Nothobranchius furzeri: one gene and its partner. The main gene of each other region encodes a partner of the protein of the gene in region 2 in a complex. Links are inferred from orthologs where the notes say so. Each region holds a gene or a part of one and is shown on either strand. Other genes may lie near its edges.

The links.
Region 1: rbm15b (region 2) and mettl14 share a complex: the UniProt entries of both Homo sapiens proteins name them as parts of the WMM complex. The link is inferred for Nothobranchius furzeri from reciprocal best matches to the Homo sapiens genes RBM15B and METTL14.

The regions. Positions count from the first base shown.
Region 1 is NC_091746.1:78,162,902-78,166,717, forward strand, and holds part of mettl14 (N(6)-adenosine-methyltransferase non-catalytic subunit METTL14), read left to right. Parts: intron 1-359; coding exon 360-447; intron 448-1,523; coding exon 1,524-1,601; intron 1,602-3,816. UniProt on the Homo sapiens protein: The METTL3-METTL14 heterodimer forms a N6-methyltransferase complex that methylates adenosine residues at the N(6) position of some mRNAs and regulates the circadian clock, differentiation of embryonic stem cells and cortical neurogenesis.
Region 2 is NC_091743.1:78,035,135-78,039,417, forward strand, and holds the start of rbm15b (putative RNA-binding protein 15B), read right to left. Parts: upstream 2,849-4,283; 5' UTR 2,613-2,848; coding exon 132-2,612; 3' UTR 1-131. UniProt on the Homo sapiens protein: RNA-binding protein that acts as a key regulator of N6-methyladenosine (m6A) methylation of RNAs, thereby regulating different processes, such as alternative splicing of mRNAs and X chromosome inactivation mediated by Xist RNA.

The DNA of each region.
Region 1 (3,816 bases), on a different chromosome or scaffold from region 2:
ATAAAACACAAACCATGTTGTAGTTTTCTCCTGCTTGTTGTTGTGTTTACTGACGAAGTCACTCGTGTGACTTCGTGCTCGGTCGGTGACAGCTGCTCCCCTGCTGCTTCGCGTCTCGTGGGAAGGGCCAAGCAGCAGCTTACGCGAGCAAGACGTGCTGCTGCAGTAACGTGCAGCTGACGGCTCCCGTGGAAACCCGGGGTGAGAAGGTTGCAGGTTCGATCTCAGCGGTGGCATTTCTGCACGTAAACGTTTCCTCCCACAGATCAAAAACATGCACGTCGGTTACAGTGATCAGTTTTATGTGCTGCAACAATGAGGTGATTTCAGAGTGAATTAAAGTTGTTTGTGTTTCGCAGGGCTTCATATGACAGTTCAGCCCCTCCTCTCAAAAAGAAGCCACAAACTGAGGGAGAGGACACCGAGGAAGATGTGGAAGAACAGAAGGTGAGTTTAATCTAGAGATGCACCAAAAAGATCAGCTGGTGATCAGAGCAGGTCATAGTTTCGTGTGATTGGCCAATCTGAAACTTCAAAATCAGCTGTTGGTGGTGAGTGAGCAACAAGGAAAATGTGACATGTCTCTGGGGCCATAAAAGCACTAATGGAAATAACTGATCAATGAGACAGTCACAATTTTTTAATTGGTCAGAAATGAATTTGAGATCTTTCAGGTGAATCAGAAGCTACAAAGATCTTTACCAGCTGTTCAAATATTAGTAAAACTCTACAGGTTTCACCCTGAATCTTTGACATCACACACACACACACTTATGCCTTTTAATGTTAACCTTAAACCTGAGGCTTTTGCACAAACCGATTAAAACACGTGTGGTGAAAACTGGTTGGGTGGGTTCTGAGTGGATGTGGACTTTCACAATTATATGGATGACGCAGTTTTCCTGTGGGGTTTCACGGCTTCAGGGCTCAATAATTAACTGGATGTTTTTGTTTAGCAATCTTAACAAAGCATCTCCAGGACCTCACTTTAAAGAGCAAGTCACCCCCAAATCAACCTTCTTGTTTGCTGCTAAACCATACAAATGAGTGTCTAATTGTGCTGTAGTCACATGTGGTCTATAATTTGGCACAATTAAAATATTCAGCCTAAAACGCGACCCAACTTCAGATAAGCGGCTGAGGATGGATGGATGGATGGATGGATGGATGGATGGATGGATGGATGGATGGATGGATGGATGGATGGATGGATGGATGGATGGATGGATGGATGGATGGATGGATGGATGGATGGATGGATGGATGGATGGATGGATGGATGGATGGATGGATGGATGGATGGATGGATGGATGGATGGATGGATGGATCATTAGTCACACCAAATGATACAGATGCATTTAAGCTTTGGTGATACCTTTTAAAGACTAAATGTGTTTATTTCTTTTCTTTAACATTGAATCCATGTTTCTTTTTAAATAGCTTTTATGATCCAGTTGCTTTCAGGTTTCAACCACATGTTTAAATACAAAAATGTGTTTTCCTATTTTTGTCCGTGTGACAGGATGAGGTGGAAGTTCAGCAGGAGGATGAAACCAACCCCTATGAGGAAGTATATAAGGACTCCAGTACGTTCCTCAAGGTTAGAACACCTTCATTTGAGCTCATTTAGCTTTCCTGGTGTCTTATCTCACTTCATTCGCTTTTCTTAGAAATTCCATGCATGTTCGGTTCATCAAAGTTATGCCGGTTCATGGAGTTTATGATGTCATTGAACTTAAACGGTGACAGCCGTTACATTAGAGAGAAGTGTTAATGAAAGGTTACTGGGAATCATCTTAAAACAACAACAACAACAAAAGAGTCAGCAGAGCAGTAACAGGGAATAGCAAGCCATGTGATGCTTGTAAATATCAGCAGGTCCCATTGTTTACATCTGCATTACCAGCGTCCAGTTCTCACTCAGTTCCAGTTAGATCGGTGGTTTTGGTGACATTGTTTCCATTTCCTGGTAAGATGTTCAACTGAGAAACATTTTTGATGACTGTGGGTCGTTTGTTTTTTGTTGACTGTTTCCTACATAGTTACCAAATGCACACTGATATGCAGTAGAAACGGCCCTGCCAACAGGATTGTTGTGAAACATTCACATTATTTATGTAATCCTTTAAAGTACGTATTGTCCAGACTGGGGTTGTCACGGTGTGAAAATGTAACCTCACGGTTATTGTGACCAAAATTACCACGGTTTTCGGTATTATCGCAGTATTTTTTTTAAACGTGCTACATTTTCACACAATTAAATAAACCTGTATGTCAGGAAATATTGTCCTCAGTTTGTCTAAATTTTGCCTGAAATGTGTTATTTTGTAATTATGTTATTTATTTGTTTACATTTTTTCCCTTTAGTCTTTAAAATACCAATATTTGCCCATAACTTCTTATTTTGTGTCTGTTTGATGACATCATTTTAAAAATATTAGATCAGATGATACTCAGTACTCAAGTAGCCTTCTAATCAGATACTTTTTTTTACCCTTACTTGAGTACTAAACCCTATATCATGAAAATATCGTCCTCGGTTTGTGACCTTCCAGTGAGCTTTGCAGATGTGGGAAAATGTCATCAGGCAGTAATCGTTGTTAAATTCATAATTATTCTCGGAGAGAGACCAACTCTTATCTGCCCCTGGGAGCCCCGTAATGCATAGCGTCATTTCAACATGGCGGTGTCCGCGACACGGTTTATATGCAGGTAGCGGCGCTGCGGCTGCTTTATATAGCGACTCGTTGCATTCTCCCTCAGCCCAAATCCTCGGATCACGCATTTTAGCTAAAACGCTAACGTTAGCTTGCCTTGCGTTGACTGTAGAGTTGTGGGTGATGGTCACGCAGATGTGTCATGAGATTTGAAGCGTTGCTGCCTTCCACAGACACTTTTTCCTGCACCTGCTGCAAACAGCATAGCCGTCTTCTATCAACTGTCCCTCGGCATTCTTCAAATATCCAAAGGATGCCCGTACTTCCCACTTTGTCTTCTTTGAGGGATAATACATGTCCTGAGTGCTGCCGTCTCCTCCTTTGGCCATTATTTCAGCTTTAGCTTCAAGAAAGTTTTGGTTGTAAACAACAAAGTGCGCATGTGCCGCTGGCAACTTCAGCAGATGATACGGTGGCTGGTAAGGGTCACCGCGCCTACACCGCAGCCACGGTAATCCACCGAGATAATATAGTTTTTTTAAAAACAAGACGGTTATTATTATTGTCAACTTTTTTTACCGGGGTTTACCGCTACACCGGTTACCGTGACAACCCTAGTCCAGACTAAGTATATTGCCACGCTCTGGCTGTTGAAAAGGCATAAAGCACATCTGTCATCACTGGCTTTTTACTGTCTGAAATCTGAGCTGCAAATATTTATGACGGCTGCGTGTTTTTGTGTAAGTCTAGGTTACATCCTAAAAATAGTCCCACATTATCAGTAAACGGCGTCAGCGGTGGTTAAGCTTTCAGATAAACACGTTTTATTTTAGCCGTGGTTCCCAAACCTGAAGCACGAGTTTTGGTTGGCATGTTGACTTGATGCTTGACAATGTGCCTGGAACATTTCCAACTAAATCATGTGATTCCCTGAGCTCCAAGCAGAGCTCATTGTCAGTGTAAACAAACAACAGGTTAACAGTTGCTCGGTTTGGTTTTGTAAACAAAATCTGTTAGTTGGTCCACCCAAGAGGATAAAAAGACTAAGAACTAATCTAGTTGTGTTATTGTCATACGCACTGGATTAAATGTGTGTTTTATAATAATGTCAGCCACCAGGGCTCCGTGGCCAGCCTCGTGGTGCACCATGAGAGGATC
Region 2 (4,283 bases):
GTGTTTTTAAAATCCTCCTCCTTCTCCCGCCAACCCCACCGGCTCACAGGGAGAAGCGGAGTGACGTGTGTAGTGTGGCTGGAATCCAGAATCCTAAAAGGTTTCAAACCAGGAAGTGTTGGTTCTGTACATCAGTTAGTGTCGTTAACGATCACGATCACCATGTGCTCCTCCTCCAGATTACCCACAGTCCTCTTGGCTGTCTGCAGAAACTGCTGAGAGAACTCTCCTGGGGGGAAGGCATAGAGCATGGCGCCCGGCCCACCCTCCTTGGCACTGGGCAGGCTCACCACACCGGCCGCCTCTTTGTTCCGCAGGTACGTCACCAGGTGGCGCAGCAGGCGCACCTGCAATCCTGGCTCCAGACCCGGGGTCTGGCGGTCCACAGGGCCCTGCAGAGCCAGCAGGATGGCAAAGCCATTGGGGCGGCCCACCTTGATGCGGCGCGAAACCTCGTCGAGCCGGGCCTGGTCCATGCGCAGCCGCTGAGCGATCTTTAACTGGCTCAGCTGATTCTTGCTCGGCTGCTTCAGGCTGTCCTTCATCACAGTGTTGAAGAAGGACACGCCCCCCTCCAGCAGGAACAGGTCTGTAGGAAAGCTGCTGTTCTTCAGGGTGAACAAGCCTCTCCACATCCTGGAGAGCATGCTCTGGGCAAACTCCAACAGCGTGCCGGGGGGTGAGGAGGCGTCTGTGTGGGCTGCAGGAGAAGCCGAGGCATTGGCCTCACTGTTCCGATGGTGGTGGTTGTTCAGCTGTTCGCTGGAGGCCCTCTTGCTGTGATGGTGGCTGGAGGGAGGCTCTTCTTCGTTGGTGGACTGCCTTCCAGCTCCTCCGTTGTCAGGGGAATGGTCTCGGGGTTCTGTGGTGGAGTCGGGAGCTCGGACCCGAGCTCGGTCCGGACTCGCTTCAGGAGAGACGGCTCCACCAACACCACGAACCCTTGACCTCCCCACCTCCTTCTCCTCCGTCTGCCTTTCTGCTGACAGACTACTGCTCCTCCTCCTGTTCCTCCTCTCCTCCCTCTCCTTCAGCCAACGTTCCCTGCTCTTGCTACGACTCCTTGCTGCTCTCCCACTCCTCCCAAACGCCTCCACCCCTCCGGACCTCCTCTCCAAGCTGCGGGTGGGGCTGCTGGGAAAGTCTCTCTCCAGCAGGGCCCTCTCCCTCAGGGAGAGCAGGCTGTGAGCAGGGGGAGAACGCTCCCTGGCCCCCCGTAGCTCCTGTTCAAGGCTGCGATGGCGGCTGTATGCCTCTCCAAGAAGGTCATAGTGGGAAGGGAGTGTAACGGGCGTCTGGTAACCAGGAGGAAATGGGCGCGACGGGCTCTCCTCCACCTTAGCAAAGTCCACCCTGAGCCGGTGCTCTGGGCCCCCCAGAGGGAAGCCCCTCATCTGGGTGCAGGCGGCCTGAGCTGCATCCAGACTCTCGTACTGGATGTAGGCAAAGCTGTCCCCCTTCACGTAGTCAATGTTCCGTATGCTGCCAAAGCGATCAAACTCTCGAGCCAGGGCAGCCAGTGGGTTCCCGGGCCCCAGCCCCCCCACCCAGAGGCGGGTGGTGGGGTTGGCTTTGCCGTAACCGATCTTTATGGGGTTCCCACCCATCAGCCGGCCCTGCATGGCCACTTTGGCACGGTGGGCCATGTCCAGGTTCTGAAACTTCACAAACGCATAAGCCCCGCCCTGTCCACGTGCCGGGCGTTTGATCACCACTTCCTCAATGATGCCATATTTATCAAACCCCCTCCGGAGCTCAGCTTCCGTCACGTTCCCATCCAGGTTACCGATGAACAGGTTACTGGTCGCCCGCTGGTCATCCTCCGGCTTCAAGTCCTCCACCACTGGCATGGGGGGCAGGCCGTAGGGCCGCCCCCTCTCATCCAGCATCCCATAGTAGTCCAGCAGCCGGTCCCGGTCTCTGCTCAGACCCAGGGTCTCCAGGGCGTAGTGTCTGGCTCTCAGTTCCCGGAGGTTGCTGACCCCGGGGACAGGGGGGGACAGGGAGCGCTGCCTGTACGGATAGGGGGCGTGGAGGGGTAAATAACCCACGTCCGGTGGGGTGACACTCCGCCTCCGTACGTACATGGGCTCTATCTTCAGCTGGCGCTCTCCCAGAACCAACCTGGAGGATTTGGCGTGCCTGGCCTCCTTGGCATCCTCCGGGTGTCTGAAGTTAACGTAGGCGATCCGGCCAAGCTCCGGTGTGTGCGACAGCTTCACGCTCACATCCCCGAACTTTTTAAATTCGTGAAACAGCGAGTCCTCCACGTCCTCGTCCGACACCTGCGAGCCCAGGTTACTGATGAGCAGCGTTTTATACTCCAGCGTGCCCGGCCGGGGGGCGGGGAGCTCTGCTGCCGAGGTGCGGAGCGGTGGACGGCCGAGGAGGCTGAGCTCATGTCGGTGGTGGAGCTCCAGGGCGGCCGCCCTCTCCTCCCTGAGCCGCGGCTTCTCGCGTTCCCGGCTCCGGCGGCGGTAGCTCCTGCTCTCCGCCAGTAAAAGCGCCAGCGGCGGCGGGGGCAGCTCCTCTCTGCGGCTGCTCTCCCGCTCCCGTGTCCGTTTAGCGATGGCCCTGGACGGACTGCTCTCCCTGCCGGCCTGCCGCTTCATTTTCTCTGGAGGACGGATCGGAAACTTTTCGGTGTCCGCAGCGGGATTCCGGGAGCGTTAGCGGGAGCGAGGCTACGGAGGACGGGCTCAGGGGGAAACGCGGTTCCACGGCATCCGCTGACGTTCGGCTCATTTACGGATAAAAACCAGAAAAGGTTTAAAAACAAAAACTGCATCAGTGGAGCTTCAGCAGCGCCGCCATCTTGGACAATAGGAATGTGCGCGTTCCCCGAGGACGGAGAACTCGATGACGCAAGCACGTCGCGCGTTACCGTCGCTTCACGTTTAAATCTTTATTTGTTTACATAAATAAGTTTATTATTGAAATGATGGAGAATATGCCCACATCATTTAGTCCTGATCTAGAATCCAGAAGTCCCAATCCAGCGCAAATCTCTTGTTAAATTGGTTTAGATGGAATATTCCTGGGACCAAAACATTTCCAGAGACGTTTTTTTTAACTCTGACCTCTTAACAGTAGAAAAATGTTCCTAACTCAAGGGATGAGACAGAGTGGTGGTATCACCCACAGGACGTTAGGCGGCGTTCTTTTGGTTTAAAGGAATTTCTCAGAGAAGGAAAATATTTTTGCCACAAAATGAATTAGACGTAGATGGATTAATTCAGATTAACAATGGATTTGTGAGATTGATGTGGTCATCATGCCTCTGAGGTTTATTACTGAGGACCACTCCAGTGTCCAGTGGGACAGTCTTCTTTATCCACCAGGAGGTTGGAACATTGGTACACCTTCATTTATAAAGCAATGCTTGGATTACTACCCACCTACATCTGTAACTTAATCTCAAGAAGTGTAAGTCCTCAGTCTGGAAGAAGACGATCAGCTGTTACTTTGTGTTCTGTTTGCTCGCACCAATCTGGGCTAAAGGTCTTTTGTTCACTCTGCTCCTTCTGCATGGAACAGGCTGCAGGAAAACTGGGAATTAGTTTTTTTTCTCCTTGACTACATTTAAAACCAGACTGAGAACCCTTGAGAGGATTCTGTGTTGTAACTGCCTTCTGTAATCTAGTGCATAACATGTCTGTGGAGCTGAAACAACTTCTGCTGCCTCTGGGCCAGGACTGCCTTGGAAATGAGGTTTTTCATCTCAATGGGACCTTCCTGGTTAGATGAAGAATAAATCTGTTACTAACATCTAGATTTGGTCTAAAAAGATGTTCTGAGGAAATCCAAAGTTAATCTTGGATTAAGATTGGATGGAATTCTAGATTTCTCCTCTTCTGGGCAGAATGACAGGAAGGACCAGGGATCAGGTCTGAGCCGGACCTCCAGCCTCTCGGGACGATCCATACAAGCACCAGGGTTCTGGGCAAAGCTCGGTTCTCACAGAGGTGTACCCGAAATCCATCTACTGTTCCAAACCAATCCTAAACTTTCTAATCTGTCGGTGAATGCAGTGTCCTAACAAATAAAACCACTAACAGTTAATCCACATTAGCCAATCCCCATGAGGATCAGGGTTTCATCCTAGATCGGTATCGGCCCGGAGTCAAACCAACCCAAACAAACATCTCAGTTGAGTTTTCACATTTTAATGCAAAAGTAGAATTTACAGTTTTAACAGAAACACAAGTCCCACATTCATGATGGTGTTTGATCCATCAGACGGATGAGGAGTCCCTCAGAAACACGACTCTGTATTTTATCGC